Oryctolagus cuniculus: one gene and its partners. The protein of the gene in region 2 interacts with the protein of the main gene of each other region in a pairwise test. Links are inferred from orthologs where the notes say so. Each region holds a gene or a part of one and is shown on either strand. Other genes may lie near its edges. The genes, in order: ZGPAT, CCDC33, EFEMP2, NCK2, MAGED1, BLK and KHDRBS3.

Region 1 (4,049 bases), on a different chromosome or scaffold from region 2:
ACTCTGAGAAGACAGAGCCATCAAAACCGTCAGAACCAGGGCCGGCGCCGTGGCGCAGCGGGTAAAGCCACCGCCTGCAGGGCCAGCGTCCCACGGGGGCGCCAGTCCGAGTCCCGGCTGCTCCACTTCCCATCCAGCTCCCCCGTGAACGATTCTTTCTAAAAATGTATTTATTCGAGAGGACAGACTTTACTGGTTCATCTCCCAGATGCCCACGACGGCCAGGACGAGGCCAGGCCAGGGCCAGGAACTCCATCTGGGGACCCAACGGCCGGAGCCCTCCCTGCTGCCTCCCAAGGCCCACAGTAGCAGGAGCTGCAGGCGGCACTGCAGGGGGACGTGGGGTCCCAACAGCCCCCCACTCCAGTCGAACGCCCGTGCGTGGGCTGGAATGGAGCTCTGATGCACGCCACACGGTAATGGGCCCTGAAACCAGGGCTAAGTGAAGTAAGCCACAGAAAAAGGCGGGGTGACAGGCAGATCCCACTGTGACGTGTGGAGACACGGCCGATCAGAGACAGCAGGGGCTGGCCGGGCCGGGAGCTACGGCAACACCAAGCGGGGGCTGGTGCTGTGGCCGAGGGTGAAGCTGCCGCCTGTGGCGCTGGCGCCCTACTGCAGTGTGGCTTCCACTCCAGCTCCCTGGTCACGCGCCTCGGAAGGAAGCAGACGATGGTCAAGTGCTGGGGCACCCCGGCTCCAGTCCTGGCTCCAGCCTGGTCCAGCACAGCCCAGTCCTGGCTCTGGCTTGGTCCAGCCTGCCTGTGGAGGCCCCCTGAGGAGTGAACCAGTGGGTGGGAGATCTCTGTCTCTCCCTCTGTCACTCTGCCTTTCAAATAAATAAATAAATTTTTTGAATTTGGTGTGGCCTTGTGGGGAGTGAGTCAGCGGATGGAAGATCTTCGTCACTTTGTCTTTCAAATAAATCGATCTAAAAAAGACAAGGAGTGCTGAGCCAGGGCGCGGGCGAGCCTGGGGAGCCCGGCCAGCGGCCACTGCTGGAGGGGCGGCTATTTCCCGGCCAGCTGGTCAGGGAGTCCATCTGGTCACACAGCGTCTGACCTCACAGCCCGGCACAGCGCCCAGTTCCGTCGAGGGAGGGGGTCTGAGACAGTTTTTTGGCCGTCCTCGCCAGACACAGGGGAAACAGAGTCCAACCCGGGCCCCCGCAGCTCCCGGTCAGGCAAGGTCACTGCCGCCAGGGCTCGGCCGGGCAAAGCTCTCCCTGGAGGCGGGGACAGAACAGAGAGGCAGCATCCACAGGGCTGAACACACCGCCCACGCGACACACGCGGGGACGCCTCCAGCAAGAGCAGGCGCACCAACGGCAGAGGGGGCAGACTGCAGGGGACCCACGCAGCGGGAGCCCAGCCCGTTTTGTTTCTGTTGTCTTAAAAGTCCAGGAAAACAACTTTGCAACCCTAGCCGTGCTGGGGCAGGTGTATGTAACCCGCTCTGCAAGTCTTCAGAACGGCCGGGCCGCCTCGGCCAGCAGCGCCCGGCGCCTGCTGCCCCCTCCAGCGGAGCGGCGGGGACGGAGCCCCGAGACCCCGGGCAGGAGAGCCCAGCCGCCCCGCCTGCACGCTACAGCAAGACTCCAGGGAGGAAGCAAGGAGGGGAGACGCGGGAGACGTGCCGGCAAGGCTGGGCCCCGCGTCGTGGCCGCCCCGCCCCCTTCTCCAGCCCTGGCCGCTGCGGCCATCTGGGGAGTGACCAGCGGATGGATGACCTCCAAGTCGTTCAAGTGAACGAATACTTTTACAAAGTCGGGAAGGGAACGCAGGGGCGCGAGACTGGCAGAGCCAGGGCAGCGGGGGAGGTCACGGCGCCGCCCCTGCTCTGCGCACGCGGGGGGACCCCCGCAGGAAGGTACGCTCCACGTCTTCCCGCGGAGCCGGCGGCTGGGCCGCACCGGCTCCGGCCTCCCGCAGACGCGCCCGGGGGTTCCCGCGCCTCACCTGCAGCGCTCCGTGAAGCGGCACCTGCCCTCCAGGAAGAACGGGCAGGGCTTGAGCGCCGCGCGCGTGGGGCACAGGCAGAGCACGCGCACGCGCGCCGCGCCGCCGCGCGCCTCCTCCGTGCCCACCACCATGGCGTTGTGGTACTCGGCCGAGCCCCAGGCGCTGTAGAAGGGGGCGTTCACCTTGGTCCCGCTCAGCTCCTCGGCGGGCGCGGGCGCGGGCGCGGGGCCCGCAGCGGCGGCCGGGGCCGGGGGCTCAGGCGGGGCGCCGGGCCCGTCGGACGCCAGGCCGGCCTCGGTGAGCTCGATGAGCTCCCGCAGGTCCCGCTGCAGCTGGCGCAGGTCGGCCTCCTCGGGCGAGTCCCGGCCGGCGCCCAGGGCGCGCTCCACCTGCTGCAGCTGCGCGCGGTACGTCTGCAGGGCCGCCTCGTCCATGCCGCGGGCCGCGCGGCGCCGGGGGCGCCCTCCGCCGCGTCCGCCCGGGCCGGCCTCCTCCGCGCGGCCCCCGGGCCCCCACCACAGCCGCCCGGCGCCCCTTCCGCCCTCGCCGCCGCTGCCGCCGGCACTTCCGCTCCGCGCCGGAAGTGCCGGGCGCGCGGGGGCCGCCGGGACGCGTCCCGTCAGGCGCCGCGCGGGGTCGGCGCGGGGTCGGCGGGGCCCGGCGCTCGGCTGCTCCGCGCGTCTGGCGGGCGCAGGTAGGCTGCGGGCCCGGGGGCCGTGCGGCCGGGACGCGGGGCGGCGGGAGCCGAGGCCCGTGCGGGAGCCGCCCCCGGGCCCGCCTCGAGCCTGGCGGGGCGGGGCGCGGGCCCGACGGCCGTGACGTGTCTCGGTGTCCAGGGCAGGATGTACACGCTGCTGTCCGGCCTGTACAAGTACATGTTCCAGAAAGACGAGTACTGCATCCTGATCCTGGGGCTGGACAATGCCGGCAAGACGGTAGGTGCCCGGCCGCGGCCCGGAGCGCTGGGCTGGGGCCAGGCCCCGCCCCCTGAGCGGCAGCGGCTCGCGGCCCTGCCTGCACTGGCCCCCGACGCCGCCTGCCCTGTCTCCCCAGACCTTCCTGGAGCAGTCGAAGACCCGGTTTAGCAAGAACTACAAGGGGATGAGCCTGAGCAAGATCACCACCACCGTGGGCCTCAACAGTAAGGCGGGGCCTCTGGCGCGGGTGGAGCCCTGAGCCTGCTGTGACGGCCACGGCCCAGCAGCTGGCCACCGCAGCCCGGCCTGACTGCTGCTGACCCCGGGGCCGCCCTGACCGATGGTGACCCCAGACCCTGCCCTGCCCTCCTCTGCTGACCCCCAGGGCCTGCCCCGACTGATGGTGACCCCCAGACCCCGCCCTGACCGATGGTGACCCCAGACCCCGCCCTGACCGATGGTGACCCCAGGGCCTGCCCTGCCCTCAGCCGCTGACTTCCCAGCAGCGCCAGTGGGTTGTTGGTCCCCCAGGAGCTCTGGCACGTGTGTGTCCAGGGGCAAGGTCACGAGCCTTTCCTGTTCTCTGTCCAGTCGGCACCGTGGACGTGGGGAAAGCTCGCCTCATGTTCTGGGACCTGGGCGGCCAGGAGGAGCTGCAGTCCTTATGGGACAAGGTAAGACGGCCCTGCGCTGCCCCGCCCATGCCATGCTGCCCCGCCCACACCGCGCTGCCCCGCCCATGCCATGCTGCCCCGCCCACACCCACACCGCGCTGCCCCGCCCATGCTGCGCTGCTCCACCCACAAGGCACTGCCCCGCCCATGCCATGCTGCCCCGCCCACACCCATGCTGCGCTGCTCCACCCACAAGGCACTGCCCCGCCCATGCTGCGCTGCTCCACCCACAAGGCACTGCCCCGCCCATGCCATGCTGCCCCGCCCACACCGCGCTGCCCGCCCACACCGCGCTGCCCGCCCTGCCCGTGGTCCCTGCTGTCCCTGCTCCTGTCGGTTCCCGAGTTGCGCCACCTCTTGTCTCACTCAGCCCCTTCCCGGAGTGGCCCCAGAAGTGGTGGTGGAGCGTTCCCCCGGGGCAGCGGGCAGGCGTCCAGGTGCGCAGTGAGGAGAGGGTGCGGCTCATCTGAGGGTTTAAGGAGTTCGGTCCAGGGCCA
Region 2 (2,793 bases):
GGAAGGCCCCGCCCCACCAGTGAGGGGAGTCACGGCTGTCGGTTCATCTCTGGCCCCACCCCGCTCCTCTTCCCCACTCTGCCCCTTCCTCGCCCTCATCAGGACAATAAACGGCCGAACCGCACGGAGGGTCTTCCTTCCCCTGGAGCCCCTGGGGTGTTTGTCACCCAGTACAGAAGCCTCAGGGGCTCAGGCACCCACTTAGAGGCCCTCTCCGTGGAGACCTGCCTGCTGCTGGCAGCTCAGGAGCCAGCAGGGGGCTGGGGGCCAGGCAGAGCGTGTGTGTGGGGGTGCAGCTTCCCTGTGCCCGGGCAGCCAACAGAGGTGCAGGTGGAGCCCGGCTGTGGGAGCAGGGAGCCCGGCGCTGTGGGCTAGTCCTGCCCGCCTGGTGCGCCCACCTGGCTAGATGGAGACATAGCTCCTTGGCCGGCCCTGCTGCTAGCCCCGGGAGGCGGAGGCTGGCCCAAGGCCACGCCGCTCTAGGAAACGGGCCGACGCTCTTGGTGCTCCAATGTTTAATGAAGTCACAGGGTGGGCTGGGGCCGCGGGGAGACCCCCAGGACAGCGGGGGAGGCCTGCTCTGGAGCTCAGGTCTGCTGGGGGTCCGCGGGCTTGCCGAGCTTCGTGTCCGAGCCTGGCGGCAGGGGCTCCAGATCCGAGGGACGCTCGAGGTCCTTGGCGGGGGTCGAGGCTTTCCATGGCTGCAAGGCGAGGGGGGTGAGCGCCCCGTGTCCCGGGTGGGCCGGCCACAGCAGGCCTCCCAGGATCCAAAACCCAGGGGGCCAGCAGGTGCCCCCCACGGTGCCCAGGGGCGTCCCCTGTCGGTCCCCTAGTCCTTTGTGAGCCTCCCTCCCAACCCAGCCACCACGCCTCCGTACGTGAGCAGAGAGTGGACAGGCCGAGCGTGGGGGTTCTTGGGGAGACAGTGGCTGTGCCGTCTCCTGAGAAGGAGCCTGTGCCATCCCAGGCTGGGGGCCACAAGCTACCCATGGGGTGCAGGAAGCACCCGGCGTCTCCTGGTCACCTCCTCCAGGTGTCTCCTGGCCACCGCAAGGCCAGGGCGGCCTCGAAGGGTCTTCTCCGCTCAGCAGGGGCAGGAATGGGGCCAGAGCAAGGGTGGTGGGGACACAGCAGGACCCAGAGCCCAGGAGCGGCTCCGCCCAGTCTGTCTCAGTGACTTAAGGGGTGGGGTGGCTCCCAGCCCCAGCAGCTGCTCCCACGGAGGGGCCACTCACGGGGGCGTCTATGATGATGGAGTTTGAGGGGCGCCCAAAGCCGTGTTCCTGCTCCTGCAGGCGCATGGCCAAGTCCTGCTTCTCCCGCCCCCAGCGCCGAGCCGAGTCCTCCAACTGCGGGCACAGAGGGGGACAACTGGTGGGCAGTGGGCAGCAGGGCCTGTCCCTGAAAGCCAGGACAAGCAGGCCCGGGGGAAAGCAAAGCTCTGGGGAGTATGGCCTTGATCTTCCCATGACCCCAGGAGCAGCAGGGGAGGGGAGGGGGCCACCCAGTGAGACAATGCAGAGGGACCTCCCTGCATTCCTGCAGCGTGCTGAGCCCTGATCCTGGTCCCACACTGAGCCCCGACCCTGGTCACACCATGATTCTAGATCCTGGTCTCACACTGAGCCCTGATCCTGGACACCCCCTGAGCCCTGATCCTGGTCCCACACTGAGCCCCGACCCTGGTCAGACCGTGATCCTAGATCCTGGTCCCACACTGAGCCCTGATCCTGGTCCCACACTGAGCCCTGATCCTGGCCCCACACTGAGCCCTGACCCTGGACACCCCCTGAGCCCTGATCCTGGTCCCACACTGAGCCCTGACCCTGGCCCCACACTCAGCCCTGACCCTGGTCCCACACTGAGCCCTGACCTTGGTCCCACACTTGGTCCTGACCCTGGTCACCCCTTGAGTCCTGATCCTGGCCCCACACTGAGCCCTGATCCTGGACACACACTGAGCCCTGACCCTGGCCCCACACTGAGCCCTGATCCTGGCCCCACACTCAGCCCTGACCCTGGTCCCACACTGAGCCCTGACCTTGGTCCCACACTTGGTCCTGACCCTGGTCACCCCTTGAGTCCTGACCCTGGCCCCACACTGAGCCCTGATCCTGGCCCCACACTGAGCCCTGACCTTGGCCCCACACTGAGCCCTGATCCTGGACACCCCCTGAGCCCTGATCCTGGTCCCACACTGAGCCCTGACCCTGGTGCACACTGAGCCCTGACCCTGGACACACACTGAGCCCTGACCCTGGCCCCACACTGAGCCCTGATCCTGGACACACTGAGCCCTGATCCTGGTCCCACATTGAGCCCTGACCCTGGCCCCACACTGAGCCTGTCCCTTGACACACACTGAGCCCTGACCCTGGCCCCACACTGAGCCCTGACCTTGGTCCCACACTGAGCCCTGACCCTGGCCCCACACTGAGCCCTGACCTTGGTCCCACACTGAGCCCTGACCCTGGTCCCACACTGAGCCCTGACCCTGGCCCCACACTGAGCCCTGATCCTGGACACCCCTTGAGCCCTGATTCTGGACCCACACTGAGCCCTGATCCTGGTCCCACCACTGAGCCCTGATCCTGGTCCCACACTGAGCCCTGACCCTGGTCCCACACTGAGCCCTGATCCTGGTCCCACCACTGAGCCCTGACCCTGACCCCACACTGAGCCCTGACCCTGGCCCCACACTGAGCCCTGATCCTGGACACACCCTGAGCCCTGATCCTGGTCCCACACTGAGCCCTGACCCTGGACACCCCCTGAGCCCTGATCCCGGTCCCA
Region 3 (4,217 bases), on a different chromosome or scaffold from region 2:
GGACGGGACGTGGGGGCACCCTGGCCGCCGCTGGGGGAGCCCGCGCAGGGCTGAGCTCACCGCTGCAGGAGAAGCCGTCGCGGTGCAGCTCGTAGCCCTGGTGGCAGCGACACAGGAAGGTCCCGTAGGAGTTGAAGCAGCGCTGCTCACACGGGGCGCCCATGTCGCACTCGTTCACATCTGGGGGTGCCGGGACAAAAGCAGAGGGGCAGTCTGGGCTGGCCGCCAAGGGCGCTCCCCCAGCTCATACCTCCCAGCCCCGGGGGCCCCAGGAGCCCGGCCTGGCCCAGCCTCACCCACACAGGAGCGGTTGTTGGGCCCCAGCTGGAAGCCCGGTTCGCACTGGCAGCGGAAAGAGCCGGGCAGGTTCACACAGCGGTGCTGGCAGTAGCGGTAGCGGCACTCGTCAACGTCTGCGACGGCGGCGGGGAGGGAGGCCGCGGAAGGCGCCAGTCAGTGGGGCCCCCACTCGAGGCCTCACTGCCCACAGACCCGGATGTCTCTGGGCAGCTGGACGGGGCCAGCCAGCCAGAGGACGCACGCACGCACAGGCACACACACACACACACATGCGCATGCGCACACACACGGTGTCCATGCAGTCCTCTGTGTCTGATGGCAGGAAGGCAGAGGGGGCCGGGGGCTGGGGTGACGCCCGGGGGTGGGCTGGAGTTGGGGGCTCAGGAACAGACAGGCTGCTGGCCGCACTCACCCACACACTCCGGCCCGATCTTGCGGTAGCCATCCGGGCAGGTGCACTCGTACGAGCCAGGCAGGTTGTGGCAGTCCTGGCTGGGCCGACAGTCGTGCAAGGCCTGCGCACACTCGTCCACATCTGCAGCAGACACCCCTGAGCCTCCGCCTGGGGTCGCTCACGCCATCCGGCGAGGCAGGCACCCAGCGTGGGAGGACGCAGTCCAGAAGCCACCACGAGGGCACAGGAGACCCCTCCCACCCGCCCACCAGCCTGGGAGGCAGCAGGAGACAAGGCTCTGTCCACACCCTCAGCCCCCAGCGACCCTGATCCCAGGACACCCCCCGCCAGGGCCCGCGGCTTCCAGGGGTGCAGTCCAGATCAAGGCTCCTGCAGGGTCTCTGCAGCACGTGAGGGGAGGGTCCCCTGGGACTGGCCCCGGACACAGCGAGGGCCTGGATGAGGGGCCGGGCAGCCCCTGGTGGCCCCCAGGAGCCATCAGTAAGGGCTTGGAGCAACGCAAGAACGCGAGCCCAAGTTGCGAGAAGCGTGGCGACAGCATGGGACGCCCGGGCCCAGAGGGACTCACCCACGCAGCTCTCCTGTTCGTCGGGCTCATAGCCTGGCGGGCAGGAGTTGGGGTGCTGAGCGGGGGGCACAGGCGGCGGGGGGCCCTCGCCGTGCAGGTCGTTGATGACGGAAGCGGAGCGCGGCAGACACAGGTAGCCCCCGTAGTGATTGATGCACTTCATCTCGCCCTTGCAGGCCTCGGGGATGGTCAGGCACTCATTCACATCTGCGGGAGGCGGCCTGCTCGGCACAGCCGGTCCCGGGAGGGGGGCCGGCCCCGGGCGGGGCGGGGGGGGCGAGGCAGGAGCCCGCTTGGCCCTCCCTGAGCTCCACAAGCTGAGGCAGCCTGGTGTACCCAGGACCCCTCCCCTCCACACGGCCCCGCCACAGGCTGGAAGTGGGGAAGGGGTTGCCACTGCTGCCCCCACGCTGCCTCCAAGGGGGTCCTGGCCCTGGCTCAGCCGGGCAGTGATCTGCAGCCCCCCCCCCCCCCGTGGACACCGCCCTCCCAGGTTGCGATGGGGCAAAGCCTTCCATGGGACCAGCTGCTCCGGGGCTCCCCCAGTGGCTCTCCCATCTACCCCGGGGGGGGGGGACAGGGTTACCGGGGTTCTTGGAGAGGGAGGGGCCGCCCTGCCCTGCTGGGCTGGGTAGAGCACAGGCCCCCTGGGCTCTGGTCCCTGCTCCTGGGGGGCTGGTCCCCCTGTCACACTCACCCCGGCAGTGCTGGCTGTCTGGGTCCCACTCATAGCCATCGGTGCATTCCTGGAAGGAAACCGGAGGCTGCAGTGGTCACCCAGGGTCCCCTCCAACTGGCCAGGCCAATAGCAGGGCCTGAGCCTGGGCCACCCTCCCAGTCTGTTCCAAACAACGGCCCCCAGCTGCTCTACCGGCCGGGCTGGGGGGGCGAATCTCCCCCAAGAACAGCCTCCGGGGACCCTGGTCTCCCAGTGGTAGGCCACCCGCCCCCGCTGTCCCCACCGTGTAGCTGTCCGGTTCCTCGGAGTCCTGCGGTGACGCTGCCCCCAAGAGCAGCAGCAGCAGCGCCCAGAGCAGCAGAGACCCAGGGAGGCAGGAGGCGAAGGGGAGCATCCTGCGGCCGGGAGGGGGCGGGCGGGTCAGGGGCCTCTGCCACGGCCGCCCCATCCCCCCGCACCGGGCCCCGGCCCCGCCAGCTCCGGCTCAGGTCCGAGCCTGGGGCCCTGCAGCCCCGCAGGACCCGGGGCCCACTCGTTTCGTAGGCCCGGGTTCCGGGCCCACTCCGCCCCCGCCCGGTTCCCTGGCGGTGCGGGCCTCTCGGCCCGGCGGCCGCCGACTCTGCCGAGACTCCGGCCCGCGCCCCCCTCCCACGGGCCGCCACTCACTCGGCCGCGACGCCCCCGCGGCTCCGGCGGCTCCAACAGTGCCTGCGGGCGGACGGACGGGCGGACGGCGCAGCTCCCTGGACGCGCGGCCCCAGGAAGCGCCCCCCGCCCGCCCGCCCGCCGCGGTGCGGCCCACCCCGGCGCCTCCGCCCGCCCTTCGGCGGATTCCTGAGCCCGCGCCAGGGGGAGGGACCCCGACCCCCCGCTTCTCCGCCCCCGGCCGGCGGCCGCAGGCCCCCGCCCGGTCCCCCGCGGCGCCTCCCGGAGCCGCCTCCCGGCGCCGGGCCAGGGTCCCCCAGCGCTCGATCGTGGTGCCATGGACCTGGATGCCAAGCCCCCAGACTCACTCGGGGGGGGGGGCAGGCCCTCATCAGAAACGTCATCCCGCGCACCTGGCTGCTACCTACGCGCGCAGAATTCCTTTCTGCGCACCCACTGCTCAGTCCCGCACCCCCAGACCCTCATTCTGAGCCTCCCCGAAGGTAGGATCCGAGGCCCCACCCAGCCCTGGGGCCTCCATCCCCTCACTCGACCCCCCCAGAATTGTATTCTGTGCCCCCAGACCGTCACTCCAGACGTCCCCAAAACTTCACCCCGGGCCCCCGACCCTCGCCCCGGCACGAGACGCTCCCGGGTCCCGGGAGCAGAGCTGCCCATCTCTCCCTTCTACCCCCCCCCCCGCCCCGCCATCTCCCGCCAGGTGGTCCCTGCGCTCCTGCACGGCCTCCCCCGCCCCCGCGCTCAGCCCTCCAAGCCGAGGTCGGGGGCGGGGGCGCAGGTCCCTTTTGGCCCCAAATGAATGGCAGGCCCCCGCGAAGCAGGGACAGGGTGCACTCGGGGGCCAGGGACGCCAGGCTCCGGTGCCAACGCCTTCGCGACCCTCCTCTCGCCCGCGCCCCCCACTCGGCTTCCGACCCCTCCCCCAGCGGAGGGCGTGGCCGGGGCGGAGCCCGGGAGGGTTCGACTCCCAGGAAGGGGCGGGGCTTCGCGCTGCCCACGTCTCAGGGCTGGGCCAGACGGGAAAGGGCCGCGTGTGCAGGGCTCCCGGCACCCCGCAGGCTGCGAGAGGGAACAGTCGGGTCTTCCCGTCCCTTCCCCATCCCTGCTTGACCCCCCGATCGCCCCCAACTGACCCGGTGGGGCTCAGGCTGATGCATTCCTACCACCTGCCCAGGGGCTGGGGCAAGAAAGCCCGAAGTCCGAATTCTTGAAAACCAAGCGTTCACGAGTGTTGGCGAGGGTGCGGAGAACTCGCAGCCCTCCTAGGCTGCAGCTGCTAACATCATCCGGCTGTGTCCCCAGATGTTACCAGGCAGGTTCGCTCCCAGGTATGCGCCCGGGAGACTAGACGGGCGACAGGTACACACCCGCCCCGGGAGACCGGACGGGCGAAAGGTACACACCCGCCCCTCCCCAGAGACTGGACGGGCGACAGCTACTCACCGAAAGTCTGCTCATAGCAGCACCGCGCTGCGGGCTTCAGAGCGCTGGAATGTAGCAGCAACCCCACCAGGGTCAGTCAACCAGTGGGTAGCACACCCCCACGTGGAGGGTTGTCCAGGCGTGAGCAGGAACCCAGCCCGACACAG
Region 4 (4,173 bases), on a different chromosome or scaffold from region 2:
GCAGAGGTTGAGAACATGACAAGGGTCCAACAGCCTGCAATGAAGGTTTAAGTCCCCAGCATGTTACTCAAAGCCTGAAAACTGACCAAGCTACTGGAAATGCACCTTCCACCCATGCCTCTATTTACAAAGGGTCAGTTTCTCTCAACTGGGCCAAGAAGATTACAATGCAGCCAATTTTGCCAAGTCAGTTTCACCCGCCTGTCAGGACCGCTGGCAGTGTTTACACAGCAGCTGAGACTCCCTGAACCCAGAGGAGCAAACCCAGCACTGCCTAAAGCTGCCATCTCACCCTCCGGTGGCCACCACAAGGCCACCAAGACCCTGCCACTCTCCTCGTGTCAAGGAGAGAGCTACTCAGGCAGGACCTGCCCCTGTGGTCACTTCTTCTCAAGCGGGGAGACCGCCCCTCCTCAGGAAAGCCCTCCTGCGAACATCCATGCACCTGCACCCCCCCTCCTGGACCTCGGCCCCGGTGCTCTCTGCCTGCCACTCTTCACATAAACCACACACACGCTGGGAGCCTTTATCTGGGCACAGGTGGTGAGTGCACTAAGGGCGTGTTCTGAGGCACAGCTCAGATCTGGTTTGATAAGTTAAGGCAGCCCGGGTTAATTTCATTTTCCGCCACTTTCAAGACTTGGGGGAAAAAAATAACTCTGTAGGTAACTTAATCAAAAACAGCAGCAGGAAACACAGCCCCCGATTGGTTCTCACGGCTACACAAAAACCCTTCCCGAACTGCCAGGACTGGGGCGGGCCAGGAAGGGACTCCCTACCTGTGGGTCCCCAGAAAGCCACGCCCACCAGCCCCTCCCCCTGGGTTCGGTCTCTCCCTGGGTCAGTGCAAGGAGCAGGCCTGGGTAATGGTGTAGGCCCTTCCGGACGCGACTGGGGCCCACTCACCCCATGATGCCCATGCAAACTTGGCACAAAGCCTCAAACCTGTTGGCCAAATAAGGGAGGCACTGCCACCCCCGCCCCTGCTTTGTCCTGAGGAGGCTGACTTAGCCAGGTGCCTGCTGGCCACCAGCCAGTGACCCCCCAGCCTCCGCCCACAGCCGGTCCCAGGCGATCGGCATTGTCCACAAAGTACAGCGTTATCCCACACAATGCGAAGCCCACACGGCGCCCACGCGGCAGCCGTCGTGGATGCTTTCAGAGTCACACAGGACGTTTTTCCAGGACCCCCTGGCGGTTCCATCGCCCGGAACGCAGAGCGACCGGGAGAAACTTTGGTACAAGTGGCTGGCTCCAAGGGTGCCCTGAAAATCCGCGGCAGGGCGCAGACCCTGAAACCCGCACAAAAGCGCCCAGCGCCGGGCCGTCGACCCTCCCTTACGCGACGTGACAGCAGCTTTGTGTGGGATCAGAAATAGTTGCAATCAACACACAGTTAAGTTCTCCGGGTGCATCGTGACCCCCCGCGTCCCTGCGACCCGGAGATTCCTCCCCCGGCGACCGCGGCCGCCGCTCGGTCCCACGCCGACCCCGGCCCCGGCCCCGTGCCTGCCGCCGTCCGTCCCGCAGGCCGGGCACTCCCTGCGCACCGGAGGTGTCCAGTCCCCGGGCCCCGCCGCCCGGCCCCTGCCCAGCTCCTCGCCCGCGCGCCCTTGGAGGGCGCCCCTGCCCCCAAGCCGGCCTCTGGGGGTAGGGTGGGGGGCCCGGAAGGCGGGCAGGAAGGTGCGGAGCCTGGAGGTGCCGAGCAGTCCACAGCCGGTGGGGAGGGCGCCCAGGCCGCAGCGGGGGCGAGGGCACCGGCGGAGCGCGGAGGGGCCCCACTCCCCCAGCCCCTCCCTGGGCGCGTCCCGGCCCGCGGGCCCCGCCGCGCTTCCAACTCCGCCGAATGGGCCCCCAAGTTTGCGGCGCACACACTTACCTCGCCACGGGCCGCCCACCGAGGCCGGAGGGCAGCGGCGCGGGTCCCGGGGCGGCGGCGGCCGCGCTGCGCCCGCCCAAGCGCCGCTCTTTGTCTGCGCCGCTCCCGCGTCTTGCCGCCGGGCGGACCCCGCCGGCCTGGGCGCCGCGAGCCTCCCCGCCGCTCGCCGCCCGTTCGGCCGCGCGGCTCCGGCCTGAAGCTCCCGGAGGCGGCGGCGGAGGCGGCGGCGGCGGCGACCCTCCCCCGGCGCGCAACGCCCGCCTCCTCCGCTCTCTTCCTCGTCCGCCCGCGCTCCTCCCCGGCCGCGCCGTGACGCCGCCCAGGGGCCGGCCCAGGCCCCGCGCGCGCACGGGGCGGGGGCCCGACACCCACCTGGGGGCGCCCCCGGGCTCCGCCGAGCTCCGCGGCCCGGCCCCGGAACGCGCCCGGCTTAGCCCGGGGCTGGAGAACGCTGCGCTGCGGGGCGCCGCGGGGCCCTGCGGGGCGCCGAGCGCTAGGCTAGGTCCCCGCGCCCGCACTTGCGGGGGCGGGGTGGGGACGACCGTAAAAATGCAGGCATTAACTTCCAGCCCCGGAGGCCGGCCGGGTGGGCTTCGCGTGCTCTTTTTGTTGTTTGTTTAATTCTCTTACCGCCACGCGCGAGTTGGAGAGGAGACCGCGCCCCCCCCTCCCGGAAGCATTCCCACGGCGCGCTCAGCGCAGCAGGCCTGTGGTCCATCAGAAAAGTGACTTCCAGCAAAATGTCACTTCCTCCCTGTGATTGCTTGCGGGCATTTTTATTTTTATTTGGCTTGCGTCTATTTACTTTCCCAACCAGACACGTTTTTAGTCCATTCGTCCCTGGCGGAGGCGCTTCCTAAGGGGAGGAGCGGAACTCCGACCTCTGATGCCTCCCAGGCACGCAAGCCCGCTCCAGCCGCCGGGAGTCGGGTTGCACAGCCCCGGGAGCAGAGCCCAATCAGGAGCCGCCTGCCCCTGGGCCCCTGCGGGTACCGTGAGGGGTGGGCCCGACCGGCTCACCCAGCCTCACCCCGCCTGGAGTTGTGTGGCCCAGTAAACAAACTTGGAAGCTGGAAACCCGAGAGCAGAGGCAGAGACCGGAGAGCTCCCCTTCCGGATGCGTCCAGATGTCTTTTCTCCAAACTCCTTCTCCCCGTGGTTTCCCAGAGGAAACCCTAATGTTCCAAGGATTCCAAAGCCCTGGTGGGATCGCCTGCATCCGTGTCAGTGAGATGCTTTCTTTGGCTCCTGGCTTCTGATCTTCAGGAAAACAGTAATGTTTCACCCAAGGAGGCAAGGCAACATTCTTTGATTGACTCCCTCCCCCAAAGCACCCAAGAATGGGTAAGTAGAGTCCCCGGAGCTCCGTCATCAGTGGCCTGCTGGACTGTGGACTTCTGACCTGTGTAACCTCACACAGGGATTTCTTGACTTTTCTCAAGTCTGTGAAATGGGGAGATAATATCTACCTACCTCCAACAGTACCAGGGACACGCCTTGGCGACAGGTCACCCTTGAATAGCTCAGTATGTGGAAGGAGGTACACTACCTTGAGCAGAGATCAAGTTCAAGATCTGGGACTCAGGACAGCCTCCTGTTTGACTCTGGGAAAGAAGCTACCAAAGCTCATCCTTTAGTGCAAGTCTCATCTTAGGAGTGAGGAAAGCAGAATTTTAGTCCATAGTCGGCCCAAATTTCAATGGGCTTACTCCAAATACGTAGAGCAATATTGACCCTTGTTTGCTTTGTAAAATCTCAGTCATGGTTCTCCTCTTCCTCCTCTGATTCTTTGAAAAACTCACTGATGCCACTCTCTAAACCTTAATCCTACAGGGTCTGCTGAAGCACGTGGCATTTCTACCTCCTGAAACTCCATCATCTTTCCATTGATCTTAGATGATTGATTTTGGTCCTATTGCCTTCTGGCCCGCCCATATTTTCTCCTTATAGGAGGTCTGTTGTCTTCCTTCCTCGATTCCCAAAGCAATCAAGGTTTTAGTCTGATGTGTCCTTTTTTTTTTTTAGTTAACCACCCGCCTGAACTTTAAGAAGAAATTATTTAGTTTTTGTTTGAAAGGCAGAGGGACAGAGAGATAGCCTCCATCTGCTGGTCCACTCCCCGGATGCTTGCAACAGCCAGGGCTGGGCTAGGAACTGGGATCCTATCCAGGCCTCCCACGTGGGTGGCAGCAACCCAAACACCAGAGCCATCATCTGTAGCTTCCCAGGGTCCACATTAGCACTAAGCTGGAATCAAATTAGAGGAACTGGGACTCAAACCAGGTGCTCCCACA
Region 5 (3,988 bases), on a different chromosome or scaffold from region 2:
GATTTCTGCTTGTTTAAATCTTTATTAAAAATGGGTAGAGTCATATTTCATGGCTCCTAATATTTATCAATTAGCATGTAATTCAAGTACATGATACTCCTATCTATGACAGGAAGTTTCCAAAAACTGGAGTTTCTGCACACAGATTATGTCTTATAAAACAATAAAATAGTCTGTATATTTTTCTATTTCTCATTAACAGAGAGATAGAGAGAACCTGACCAGGACTAAGTGTTTGATGGACTTTAAATGCATGAAATATAGCAGTTTAGCAAGTTATTCCAGACCTCTGGGTCTTGGTTTTATCATCAGCAAAATGACAACAATGACTAATGACCTTAGAGAGTAATTGTGAACATTAGTGGAGAAACTATATTTAAAAGTTTGTCTCTTACTGACAAGCACTGGATTAATTTCAAATTACCACACCAAACATTTATGGGCAAAATATTATGAACACACAGTGGTAATAGCAGTCAAAAAGATAGGTAAATATTACTATAGAATAGCACACAATGCACCAGGAATAAACAAACTGGGGGTGAGGTGGGGCTAGAGATATAGATACAGCCTCCTTCCTAAAGGGACTGTTAAGTGGCAATTCATCTCAATGGTAGCAAGAAGCTAGCCAGGTGGCAGAGAATACAGGGAATTGCGATGGATTGAGTTATCTGAGTTGGTAGTGTTGAATTAAAGTTATGCAGCAAAGTGGCCACTAGAGGACCACAGGGATGGCAAAAGAGATGTAGGAAGCAGAGTGAATGACAAATGAGAGATCATAGCATGAAAGTATTTTTTTCCAATAATAATCTGCATAATTTGCATCCTCATTTCCTTCAGGTCTGTACTGAACTGCCACTCTACCAGAGAGAGCTCCCTGACCATCTTATCTAAAACAGTACAGCTCGCCCCCATCACAATTTATTTTATAGAAGTGGTGCCTTGAAAAAGTTCCTGGAAAAGGAAATTAAAAGATAATGCCTATTTCTGTGAACTTTTTGAAGATCTCTGCATTCATTTATTGCCTCTCAGCTATAACATCTACTTTTGTTTTGTACTGTTGTATTCCCAGTTCTGAGAACACTGTCTGACATATAAGCTATTCAGCACACACACACACACACAAAATCAAATGGGTGGGTGCACAGTGGGTTGAAAACAGTGTGAAAGACATATAAATGTTGCATAATAATATGAGTAAAGAGACATTTGCTAATACCGTTTTAAAAAGTTCCTGAGTGTTCTGCTGTCATGAAATCCACCTCATTTGTTTATTCTATCTAAATGAACTGAAATTCTGCCCTAGAAAAGGGAGTCATCGCTCATTCTGTCAAACACAACACATGAGTTACAGGAGGAGGAAGAAGTTAACTGCTTATTCAAGGGGAACTGTGGTTAAATTCTTCATAAAGCCTGACAAAAACCTTGTCCTTACCACAAATTTAATGATCATATGGGTAAAGAAAAGCGAATAAATTCAGTTGATATTCTTCCAAGATAAATTTTGCATAACACATGGAACAGAAAAATACACCTCACATTTCAAGACACGAAAAGACAAAGTTCCCATTGCAACAGGCAGACTATATAAAAATCGTAAAGTGAGCCTAGGAAACCATCTTTAAAAAAAATCTGCCAGCTTTACTGTTCAATGTTGCCCCTAGAGACCAGAAAAGGATTTGTATAATAAAGTTAACTCCTGAAGTAATAAATTGAGGATTGGACCTCAAGCCTGTCAATCACTTCTCCTCTAAGAATGGTTTTACAGGAGATGGGAAAGCTTCCATCTCTAAAGCTGACACCAACGTATACGCAAAACCCATTATGTTTGCTCCTCCAAAACTCTGGGAGTTCTGTCTGCCAACATTTAAAAAAAAACTACAATCAATCAGTCAATCAATACAAACACTTAGAGGGTTGAAACCAGTGCAATAATAACTAAATGGCGCATAATTTTGTTGAGAGAAATAAATAAATAGACAGACATAATTTGAACAAGTCCCGATGCCTTCTTCAGGCTCTACAATTTCTGCTTCTTTGCTTTTCTTTTTTTTTTTTTTTTAAGAACAAGAAAAGCAAACTCAACGTTTAAGACATACTTGCTTTTGGAAAATGTATAACGCAATGGCCTCTGCAGGGGAGAGACAGTAAAAGACCGAAAGCCAGCAAAGGGAGTAAAATACGAGTCTTCAAAAAGTTCGTGGAAAATGCGTATTATGGGGGGAAAGAAACCTACGAATCAAATTTGTGTACCAAAATAACTGCATCTTTTAATTTCATATTCCTGGAACTTTCTTAAGTTCCCTTCATTCTGGGATGGAAAGAGAAGGAAGGAAGAATGTCCGCTGAGAGAATAGGAAGGGGCTCGCCAAGGGTCTGGGGCTAAAAGGGCGCGGGGCGGAAGTTGCGGATTAGTGGAAGAGAGAGATTTGTGGGACAGGGAACAACCAGAAATACCGGAGAAAAGGATCCGGGATAAAGAGGGGATGTGAAGCATGACCAGAAGTCGGGAGGATAAAAGAACCACGAATGTCAGAAGCAAGGGTGGGGGCAGGGGGCGGGTGCCGGCCTCCCTTCCCCTGAGGAGGAGGAGAGGAGATGGTGAAGCGATCAGAACCACAGGCGTCAGAAGCATCCTTCACACGCTGTACTCTGAGAATGAATACACCTTGTTTCCACCTCATGCTGAGGCCAGAAGCAACGTTTCCCCGAAGGGAGCAGGATTTATTTGTGAGAATTATCAGTCCCCTTCTTTACACTCACCTTGACGAAGAAGGCAGCGACGATGGCGTGACCGGAAGTGCTTTCCTCTTTTGTTTGGCGGAAGCTTTGGCTTCTGCCGCTGCCACCCCCATTCCCTTCCCTCCAGGCAACTTCCTGTGCCTCTCTAGCAAGCGCTGGGATGCTTTATCTCATTAGCTCCCAGATGAGAAGTTGGATAATGATATAAAGGGCCCAGGACAGGGAATCAGTAAATTTCTGCAAATTCTGACTCTAATCATTTCAGAAACTACAGTATCTCTACCAAATCCCACTTGTTCAGTTCGTCGTGTTGTCTTAGAAATAGACTCCTTTACCTTACTCCTTTAATTCAGACTTCATTATCAATGTCTTGGATGTATACAGTTACATATTTAACCATACTGATTTACTATTTTCTGGGGCAGCAATTTGGAAAATTGGAAAATTTAGAAAATTTATTTTTATCAGCTTTTTAAAAAATAATAAGTATTTGGGGCCGGTACTGTGGCATAGCAGGTTAAAAACCCTGGCCGAAAGCACCGGCATCCCATATGGGCACCAGTTCGAGTCCCGGTTGCTCCACTTCTGATACAACTCTCTGCTGTGGCCTGGGAAAGCAGTAGAAGATGGCCCAAGTCCTTGGGCTCCTGCACCCGCATGGGAGACCCGGAGGAAACTCCTGGCTTCTGGCTTCAGATGGGCTCAGCTCTGACCGTTGCGGCCATTTGGGGAGTGAACCAGCGGAGGGAAGACCTCTTTCTCTCTCTCTGCCTCTGCCTCTGCCTCTCTCTGTAACTCTCTTTCAAATAAATAAAATAAAAATTTTTTTGAATAATATGTATTTGTTTTCATCTGAAAGGGAGTGAAAGTTCTTTCATTCTTAGATGCCCACAGCAATCCATCCCAGCTATACTAGGTGAAAGTCAGGATCCAAAGGAATTCCATCCAAATCTCAGGGATCCAAGTACTTGAGCCATCACATGCTGCCTCACAAGCTGTGTACCAATAGAAAATTGGATCAGAAGCAGAGGTGCGACTTGAACCCAGACCTTCCATTCAGGATGCCAGTGTCCCAAGGAGTGTCCACACCTCCCAGCCACAACTTCTGCCCCTTATTAGCTTTTGTAAAAAATATGATTACTGAATTTTGTCACAGAGTGGTATCCAGAGAATTAGCATATTCAAATTTCTAAATAAAAGTGGACTCATTCAGAAAGCACTCTATTATGTCTATCCTCGTAGGAAT
Region 6 (4,141 bases), on a different chromosome or scaffold from region 2:
TCCCAACCATTCCTGACGGGGTCACTGCTCCCACCTCTGTCTAACACTGTGCATTGCTGGGCTTCTGTAGCTGCCCCCATCTGCCCCATGGTCATTGTCTGTTTTCTGGACTGGGTCCCCCAGATGGGACTGAACTGAAATAGTAAGACTGAGTTGTCTCATCTCAAGCCATCAACCTTTACAGCAGAAGTTGAAGGAGTCTGGAACTCTTGTAACTTGTGTTTAATGGTTGAGCGCAACAACTGGATGTGAGGAAGCCAATGGGATAATAAACTACAAACAGCTACTTGTACTGACCACACCTGGCACACTGGACGCTGTTCTGAGCCCACTGCTGCCAAGTATGGAAGAAGATGAAGCCATTTTATGATTCAGATTTGGGGCTTGGCCATCTGGGGTTCACCATGCCCTAAATACTGTAACAGAAACGTGTGATGCATGAATGCTCTCGTTTTCCCCCTAAAGCCCTTTGGGGAAATGAAGCCCATTGTTTCCACAGTGTCACTGCGGCTGCCACTGCTCTGAGCCTCTTTAGAGAGACTCTCTCCTCTCTGTAACTGACAGTGAGTATCATCCTATCCCTAACTTCCAGGGACAGAAACTCCAGAGGAAACAGACACTGTGGACTGCTTTGTAGAAGCTGGCCCGCCTGACTCCCACACCCCACCTCCAGGACTCCAGACCTAAAGGGAGAACAAGAATCCCCCAAACCAGCTTCCTTGGACACAGATAGGGAGCAGCTGGCCAGGGGGTCTCCCTGGCTGCAGGACTATGAAGCAAGTCTCTTGAGGTCGTTTCAGCAGCCTTCTTGGGCTCACTGGTCCCTGGACTGCTCTAGTGCAGGCCAGTCCTCACCACTCTCTATGTTGGGACCCCCCCCCCACTCCCAGTGTTCCCTTGAATTTTCATTGTTCGAGTGAAGCTCTGAGTCAGAATGGTCTGCTGATTACTAAATAAATAAATAAATCATGGGGGAAATAACATTTATTGAGCACCAAATTTGGGGCCTGCCACTCTCACCCCATCTGCCATTATTCAATGTTCACAGCATCCTGTGAGCCAGCTATTATTAGCATCATTTAAAAGACAAAACCAAGTCAACAAGGCTGAGAGAACAGGTGCTGTGGCTCACGCAGGTGCCACAACGTGGAGCCCAAGCCCTTGTCTGTGAGGCAGAGCAAAACACCTCATAGAATACACGGATTGGAGGTTTGTGAACTCAGTGCAGAGAAAAAAAAAAAAAAAAAAAAAAAACTCCGCCATGTTGTCAAACCAAAACCCCATGAGAAAACTTTCTGGTGGCAGAGGGCACTGCGACCAGTGTGGCCCAGGGCCGGGGGGGAAGCGCAGCTGCTCGTGGTCCTTGCTGGGACAGAGGGTTCCTCAGGGTGCAGCCAGCCCACAGCAGCCTCCAGGGCGCGAGGCAGGAGGGGCGGGGCTCTTGTTGAGGTTGCCCCTTGGGGGCGGCCGGCTGAGCTCCGATCACAGCCTGGGGAGGCTGCCACCAGGAAGCCATGAGGTCCCCACGCCGCCGACAGGGATGAGAACAATTCATCTGGGCATGGACTTTTTCTTTAGGATCGCCTGGTGAGTTTCCGGCTGGAGACAGGAGGCTGTACCACCTTAAAGGCACTGCGATTTGAACAGCAATGGTGAGAAACCACTGACGCGTTGGCAGGGTAAGTCTCTGTGCCTTCCGGCTCTCGGCTATCTCGTTTCTGTACATTGCACGGTGCTCCAAGGCCTATATTTGGAGGAGTGGGCAGGGATATTGCTCCAGTGTTATTGATGGAGAGAGAGGGAATTAACATGATCTGTGCCACAGCTATGGGTAGATTGCCCAGCTGTTTGCTCATTTCTACTTTAGAGGTGGTTTTTTTTTTTTTTTTACTTGTAAAATTTTATTGATCCGGGTAGTTTCTGTGTCTTATGGTCTCTAAGCTGGGGAAGGCAGTGCCTATGGGCAGGGGGAGGAAAGGACATGGGTGGCACACACAGCCCGGCTGCCGAGCTGAGGGCAAGTGCGTCCACCTGCTTGCGAGAGTACAGAGCTGAGAGAGGGTGGCAGGGGCGGGCGATGCTGGCTGGCTCCGCCTTTGTTTTTGTTTGTTTCTGAATGAGGCTGTTCCATTTGTCAGGCATGTGCTGGTGGGTTGGGAGAAAAGGCTTAGGATGATCTTTTTGGTGAAGAGATCTGTTTTGTCAAGAAGACCAACTGCTGGTGTTTCCAGCCGCTGGGGTCAGGGGTCGGGGTTCGGGTCGCCGGGCGGAGTGAAGGCGGGAGGCGCCGGCGCCAGACACGGAGGGAAAGAGCTCAGACCCAGCGCCCAGAGGCCGCGGAGCCAGCCGAGCCGCCGCCGCGCCCCAGGGCGGCCACCAAGGACAGTCACGAGGACCACGACACCTCCACGGAGAACGCGGACGAGTCCAACCACGACCCCCAGTTTGAGCCAATAGTCTCTCTTCCCGAGCAAGAAATCAAGACGCTGGAGGAAGATGAGGAGGAACTTTTTAAAATGCGGGCCAAGCTCTTCTGATTCACCTCGGAGAACGACCTCCCGGGGTGGAAGGAGCGCGGCACGGGCGACTTGAAGCTCCTGAAGCACATGGAGAAGGGGGCTATCCGCCTGCTCAGGAGGAGAGACAAGACCCTGAAGATCTGCGCCAACCGCTACATCACGCCAACGATGGAGTAGAAGCCGAACGCAGGCAGCGACCGCGCCTGGGTCTGGAACACCCACGCCGATTTCGCCGACGAGTGCCCCAAGCTGGAGCTGCTGGCCATCCGTTTCCTCAATGCTGAGAATGCGCAGAAATTCAAAACAAAGTTCGAAGAATGCAGGGAAGAGATTGGAGAGCGAGAAAAGAAAGGAACCGGCACAAACGACAGCGCCGAGAAGGTGGCCGAGAAGCTCCAGTCTCTGTCCGTGCAGGGGGAGTGCGAGGAGCCCGCGGAGCAGGCCCCGGAGGCCGCCGGGGAGCAGCACTGAGCGCCTCGCCCTGCCCTGCCCTGCCCTGCCCTGCCCTGCCCTGCCCTGCCGTCCTGTCCCGTCCCGTCCCTCTGCCTCTGCCTCTTTCGTTTTTGTGTGTGTGTGTGTTTTAAAGCCCTGCACCTCTTTTTCGGTTTGTTGTAATTATATAAAGTCCCTTGCAAAAAACAAAACAAAAACAACTGAATTCAACATTCAGGTGGTTTTATTTTTTCAGTTTTTGGCCCTCTCGAAGCCGACTGGAGCAGTCCATTCCCCAGTCATGAACATGTACTGTGCTAATAACTTCCTTTTTCATAGTGGAAACACTTATTTATAGGCATCAGAAATAGTGAATAAAAGACACATTTGAAACCTGGAAAAAAAAAAAGACCAACTGTTAACAGGAAAGAGCAGTTGATAACACAGTTTGTGGGGATTTTGTTAAAATGCTAGGACTTTGGCAACTTTCTCATCCATTCGGTAATGGGCCATTGATCTCACCCTCCTCCATCCACATTACCATGGAACTCAAAAGAACTGTTCTGTGCTACCAAGAGCTCTCTGTTATATGTAGACCCTCCTACCCCCAGGGGGTGGCGCTCATTCTGACTGCGGCTTGGACTTAGAACTAGGAAAGGGGAAATGGTAACTCTCCATTGGAGAAACCTGCAGAGCTCGGTAAACAGCACCAAGCTATGCCCTTACTGTGAGCTTCTGCACTCAGACGATTCTTCCCCCACGCCACACGGCCCCAGTCTTATCATGAGAAGACAGACAAATTCACACTAAGGGCTGTTCTGCAAACGTTTCACCTTCAAAACCGTCAAGATCACCAAAAGCAAGGGAAGACACAGCAACTGCCACAGATCGGAAGAGGCTGGGAGGTGTGACAACTGAATCCAGAACGCACTCCCTAGATCCAGAACAACACCGACAGTGGACGCCAGCTGACGCCCACAGGAAGCCCAGAGGGACATTAATGTTAAAGTACCAGAGTTCACCCCTTAGTTCAGGCACCACGGACACAGGTGAGCCTGGGGGGAAGCTGACTGGCGCCTGCGTGAGAATTCTCTGTACTGCCTTTGTGACATTTTTCCTACGAACCTAAAAATATCCCAATTTTAAAAGCTTAAAAACATAACACTCATCTGCGCCCGTGGCCCAGTGGG
Region 7 (3,500 bases), on a different chromosome or scaffold from region 2:
ATTTACCATGCTGCACTAAGTAATCTGTTGATGTTTCTTTTCCCCTAAACTATATATTCCTCGATGTTAGGTATTAATTTTTCCTGTTTGTGTGGTCAACACCACGCACAGGGCTTGACTGCAGAAGGCAATGATGTGTTTATGTTGGACATCAATCAGTTTTGGACGTGTTTTCAGTCTCACATAAAAGTGTACAACTTGGAGTTCAAAAATATGAATAACAGATTGTGCTGCTGCAAATGTTTCAGCCATGTAAATTTCGTAGCAGTATTTAATCTCTCCAAACTCCACCCTCTCATATAAGAAAAAGGAATAATGTCAAATAATTTACAGGGATGCTGTAACGTCTACTACAAATAAAGATCTATGCAAATTACAATTATTGTCAAGGCCTAAAGCAAAATAAGTATTTTAAAGGTCAAGTGAGCTATGAATAAATATAGGACTAACAGGGATGAGGAACTTTTTGATTTCTTCCAAAGCATGTCCCATGCGGGCATAAGCTTCCGCTGGTGGGGCAAACACTTCAATGAGCACATGGAGATCATCATTGAGGTGGAAGTACTTTGCTTCTCCACTTTTCCTCAACTCTTCTTCCTGGAGAAAGAAAAAAATCATATTTAAAAATCTGACATTATGAAAGAAGACAGACAACAAAAACTACCCAAAGCTTATCTGTTTACTGAACAGCATATATTACCCTGAGGAAGAAGTAAATGGTAAATCGGATCTTTCCACTGTAGGTATTTACAAATACTCCAAAGGCTTCCCATTGATACTAGGATAAAGTCTCCACTCAGGACACTGCCCATAAGGATCACGGACTCAATATTGCCTGCTCCTTCACCTCTTCCTGACTCCCTTCCTTAAACCTCTCCAGTTGTTGATGGTTTAATAGACCACAGAAGTATCATGATTATTATGCTGTATATGTAGCTGATGCACGTCATGATTCCACTAATTTCATCAATGTAGCAACTAGAAGAAAGTGAACTGAGTTCACATTAAATAGTAAACACACCGAGAACCTAAGAATGAGATCTCTTTAGAATGAGATTTTAATAGTAAGTAATGGCTAAACATAAACATATTAACTGAGAATTTGTGAAAACAATCAACAGAAGTTAATACTTTAGAGTTCATGTAATGAAGATATGATGACAATACAGTCATCGGTAATATCTACCTAAGTAGCAAAGTTGTTACTTCAATCATCAGCTGTGGTCAACTTCAGTGAGAGGCTTCCAGTGGTAGAGGCAACAGCACAGTTCCGGGGACAAGAAGACAACACAACTAGTGGACTGGAGTGAAATGGGCTGTTTCTTATGGTAATCAAGAGTTTAAAGAATGAAATGACAGACTCATGGTTTTAAGTTATCAGTTCAAGGCACAAAGAGCCTGAAGTATCCTAGAAGCTTCTACTGTAGTAAACACAGGCTGATGGAACCAAAAGACAGATGCAGAGTTAAAATGTGTGTACTGCTGAATATCCAAACTCTCTCTTATTTGAGTTGTAGAGTAATGTCTAGCTAACAAAGAAACCAGAGGACTGTACTGGTAATATTTGGGATGATTCAAATAACTCTGATCATCCAAAAGTGGAAACCCGATGGAGTCTTCCACACTGGCAGAAGCCTGTACCATATGGTGATGCTTTTCCTATGTTGCTTGAACAGCAGAGACAATTCTTTGAAAGGAGAAGACACCTTCATACTTTCTAACTCCTCTTCCTTATGTCAGACATCTGTTTGTTTCAGGGATACAAAGAATAAGAGAAGCAAACTGAATCTAGGGAAGAAGGCAGCATGCATACCTAACCTGTAACATTTACCACTGTATGACACTACCTCCGAGTCTCCTCAAGAAACATATGGCACCTTTTATGAGAGTGACTTTCAATGAGGCTAAACACCTATACAGAGAGTTACAGGTTGAATATCCCTTATCCAAAATCTTGTGAACAGAAATATTTTGAATTTCAGAATTTTTCACATTTTAGTATATCTCTTTATACATAATGACCTATCTTGGTGATGGGACCCAACTTGGAATAGAAATTCATGCATGTTTCATATATACCTTATACATACAGTCTAAAGGCTTTAATGTTTTCAGTGTGCCTGTGTTGTGACTGAGACCCACCCCATAAGGCCAAGTACAGAACATTGCATTTCTGGCATTGAATCAGGGCTCAGAAAGTTTCAAATTTTAAGATGGTGGGCATTGTGGCTCAGGAGGTAAAGCTACTCCTTCAGATACTGACTCCAATATGGGAATGCCAGTTTAGTTATTCCCCTTCTAATCCAGCTTTCTGCTAATGTGCCTGGGAGGCAATAGATGATAGAAGAGCCAGATGTAATTCTGGGTTCCTGACTTAGTCTTACCTAGCCCAGGCTGGTGCGAGAATTTTGGGAGTGTACTATCTGATGGAAGATCCTTTCCTTTTTCTATCAAATAAATAAATAAGTAAATACACAATATATCTTTGAAAAAATTCCATTTTAGAAGCACTTTCAGATTTCCAGATTAAGGATATTTAACCTGTAAAAGAATTAACTCTGACCTAATGCCAATCCATGGAGGGCCACCAATCAGAGTGTGGCTTATGGGGTAAAAAGATATTGGTCCTCATCCACTGATAGTGAGTTCATCAGATTATAAATTCACACTGAATGCTATTCGTCCTGTTCCTGGGTGGCTTGATGGAACATATATCATCAGCTACTTACAAAATCTCCACAGTGATTTACTGTACCAAATGGGAAGAAAACATAGAAATGAAAGGATTACTGAGTTAGTGATAACTGGTTCAGAAAGAGGCCCAAGTGTGTAAAACCAGGGTGACCCAAGCAAATGTGGAGTAGGTCCTCAATGATCAGGTAGAAACCCATTGTTGCTAGTGTTAGGGTATCTCACTCCCCAGCCAGTTCAGTGCTACTCAAGGCGCTCATAAACAAAATGATCATGGAAAGAAGGACAGAAGCTACATGATACTGCACAACACAGAATCCCCTACAAAAGATGTCTAGCTACTAATTCTGCTGAGTGCCTGGTATGCCAACAACAGAAAACAACCACAAGCCCTTGATATGACAATACAACTTGGAAGGACCACGGAGCCCTTTTATGGATAGCCGAGCATCTGTTATCACCTGGACATATAACTTAGATAGATCTGCCTGCCTCGCTTCCTTTCCACTTGAGAATTGCTCATGAATGCCCTGATCACCAGTACTCTACGCCACAAAACAGTCTTCTGACCAAGGAACTCCCTGAATAACAAACAAAATAAGTAAGTAAATGGGTTCCTATCCTTGGGTTTCACTGCTCACATCATGAAGTCTACTACCATATGGCCTTAAAATTAAAACTGGATTAAGATAGCAGCAAAAGTGGAATAATTCCATGCAAGATACACACTTCTAATCAACTGACTTATATATGCTTCCATTTTCTTCTGCAATATTAAATGAGTAAAGGAATCAAGTGCCATCATTTGA

Evidence for each region.
Region 1: the proteins of CCDC33 (region 2) and ZGPAT interact in a two-hybrid assay, tested with the Homo sapiens proteins (2 studies listed by BioGRID). The two-hybrid records come from large-scale screens. The link is inferred for Oryctolagus cuniculus from reciprocal best matches to the Homo sapiens genes CCDC33 and ZGPAT.
Region 3: the proteins of CCDC33 (region 2) and EFEMP2 interact in a two-hybrid assay, tested with the Homo sapiens proteins (2 studies listed by BioGRID). The two-hybrid records come from large-scale screens. The link is inferred for Oryctolagus cuniculus from reciprocal best matches to the Homo sapiens genes CCDC33 and EFEMP2.
Region 4: the proteins of CCDC33 (region 2) and NCK2 interact in a two-hybrid assay, tested with the Homo sapiens proteins (2 studies listed by BioGRID). The two-hybrid records come from large-scale screens. The link is inferred for Oryctolagus cuniculus from reciprocal best matches to the Homo sapiens genes CCDC33 and NCK2.
Region 5: the proteins of CCDC33 (region 2) and MAGED1 interact in a two-hybrid assay, tested with the Homo sapiens proteins (2 studies listed by BioGRID and IntAct). The two-hybrid records come from large-scale screens. The link is inferred for Oryctolagus cuniculus from reciprocal best matches to the Homo sapiens genes CCDC33 and MAGED1.
Region 6: the proteins of CCDC33 (region 2) and BLK interact in a two-hybrid assay, tested with the Homo sapiens proteins (3 studies listed by BioGRID and IntAct). The two-hybrid records come from large-scale screens. The link is inferred for Oryctolagus cuniculus from reciprocal best matches to the Homo sapiens genes CCDC33 and BLK.
Region 7: the proteins of CCDC33 (region 2) and KHDRBS3 interact in a two-hybrid assay, tested with the Homo sapiens proteins (2 studies listed by BioGRID and IntAct). The link is inferred for Oryctolagus cuniculus from reciprocal best matches to the Homo sapiens genes CCDC33 and KHDRBS3.

What each region holds. Positions count from the first base shown.
Region 1 is NC_091442.1:348,523-352,571, forward strand, and holds the start of ZGPAT (zinc finger CCCH-type with G patch domain-containing protein), read right to left. Parts: upstream 2,801-4,049; 5' UTR 2,396-2,800; coding exon 1,959-2,395; intron 1-1,958. Other genes in the region: ARFRP1 (ADP-ribosylation factor-related protein 1), read left to right, coding at 2,804-2,896, 3,015-3,102, 3,470-3,552, 3,923-3,989. UniProt on the Homo sapiens protein: Transcription repressor that specifically binds the 5'-GGAG[GA]A[GA]A-3' consensus sequence. Represses transcription by recruiting the chromatin multiprotein complex NuRD to target promoters.
Region 2 is NC_091443.1:109,313,392-109,316,184, forward strand, and holds the end of CCDC33 (coiled-coil domain-containing protein 33), read right to left. Parts: intron 1,350-2,793; coding exon 1,236-1,349; intron 702-1,235; coding exon 588-701; 3' UTR 501-587; downstream 1-500.
Region 3 is NC_091432.1:5,896,475-5,900,691, reverse strand, and holds the start of EFEMP2 (EGF-containing fibulin-like extracellular matrix protein 2), read right to left. Parts: upstream 2,801-4,217; 5' UTR 2,629-2,800; intron 2,358-2,628; 5' UTR 2,357-2,357; coding exon 2,246-2,356; intron 2,030-2,245; coding exon 1,981-2,029; intron 1,491-1,980; coding exon 1,284-1,490; intron 836-1,283; coding exon 713-835; intron 414-712; coding exon 297-413; intron 181-296; coding exon 61-180; intron 1-60. UniProt on the Homo sapiens protein: Plays a crucial role in elastic fiber formation in tissue, and in the formation of ultrastructural connections between elastic laminae and smooth muscle cells in the aorta, therefore participates in terminal differentiation and maturation of smooth muscle cell (SMC) and in the mechanical properties and wall integrity maintenance of the aorta.
Region 4 is NC_091433.1:102,853,616-102,857,788, forward strand, and holds the start of NCK2 (cytoplasmic protein NCK2), read right to left. Parts: upstream 2,801-4,173; 5' UTR 2,510-2,800; intron 2,152-2,509; exon of another isoform or gene 1,880-2,151; intron 1-1,879. UniProt on the Homo sapiens protein: Adapter protein which associates with tyrosine-phosphorylated growth factor receptors or their cellular substrates. Maintains low levels of EIF2S1 phosphorylation by promoting its dephosphorylation by PP1.
Region 5 is NC_091453.1:36,245,873-36,249,860, reverse strand, and holds the start of MAGED1 (melanoma-associated antigen D1), read right to left. Parts: upstream 2,801-3,988; 5' UTR 2,764-2,800; intron 1-2,763. UniProt on the Homo sapiens protein: Involved in the apoptotic response after nerve growth factor (NGF) binding in neuronal cells. Inhibits cell cycle progression, and facilitates NGFR-mediated apoptosis. May act as a regulator of the function of DLX family members.
Region 6 is NC_091433.1:43,007,553-43,011,693, reverse strand, and holds the start of BLK (tyrosine-protein kinase Blk), read left to right. Parts: upstream 1-1,341; 5' UTR 1,342-1,679; intron 1,680-2,326; exon of another isoform or gene 2,327-2,990; intron 2,991-3,089; exon of another isoform or gene 3,090-4,141. UniProt on the Homo sapiens protein: Non-receptor tyrosine kinase involved in B-lymphocyte development, differentiation and signaling. B-cell receptor (BCR) signaling requires a tight regulation of several protein tyrosine kinases and phosphatases, and associated coreceptors.
Region 7 is NC_091437.1:161,088,939-161,092,438, reverse strand, and holds part of KHDRBS3 (KH domain-containing, RNA-binding, signal transduction-associated protein 3), read right to left. Parts: intron 598-3,500; coding exon 451-597; intron 1-450. UniProt on the Homo sapiens protein: RNA-binding protein that plays a role in the regulation of alternative splicing and influences mRNA splice site selection and exon inclusion. Binds preferentially to the 5'-[AU]UAAA-3' motif in vitro.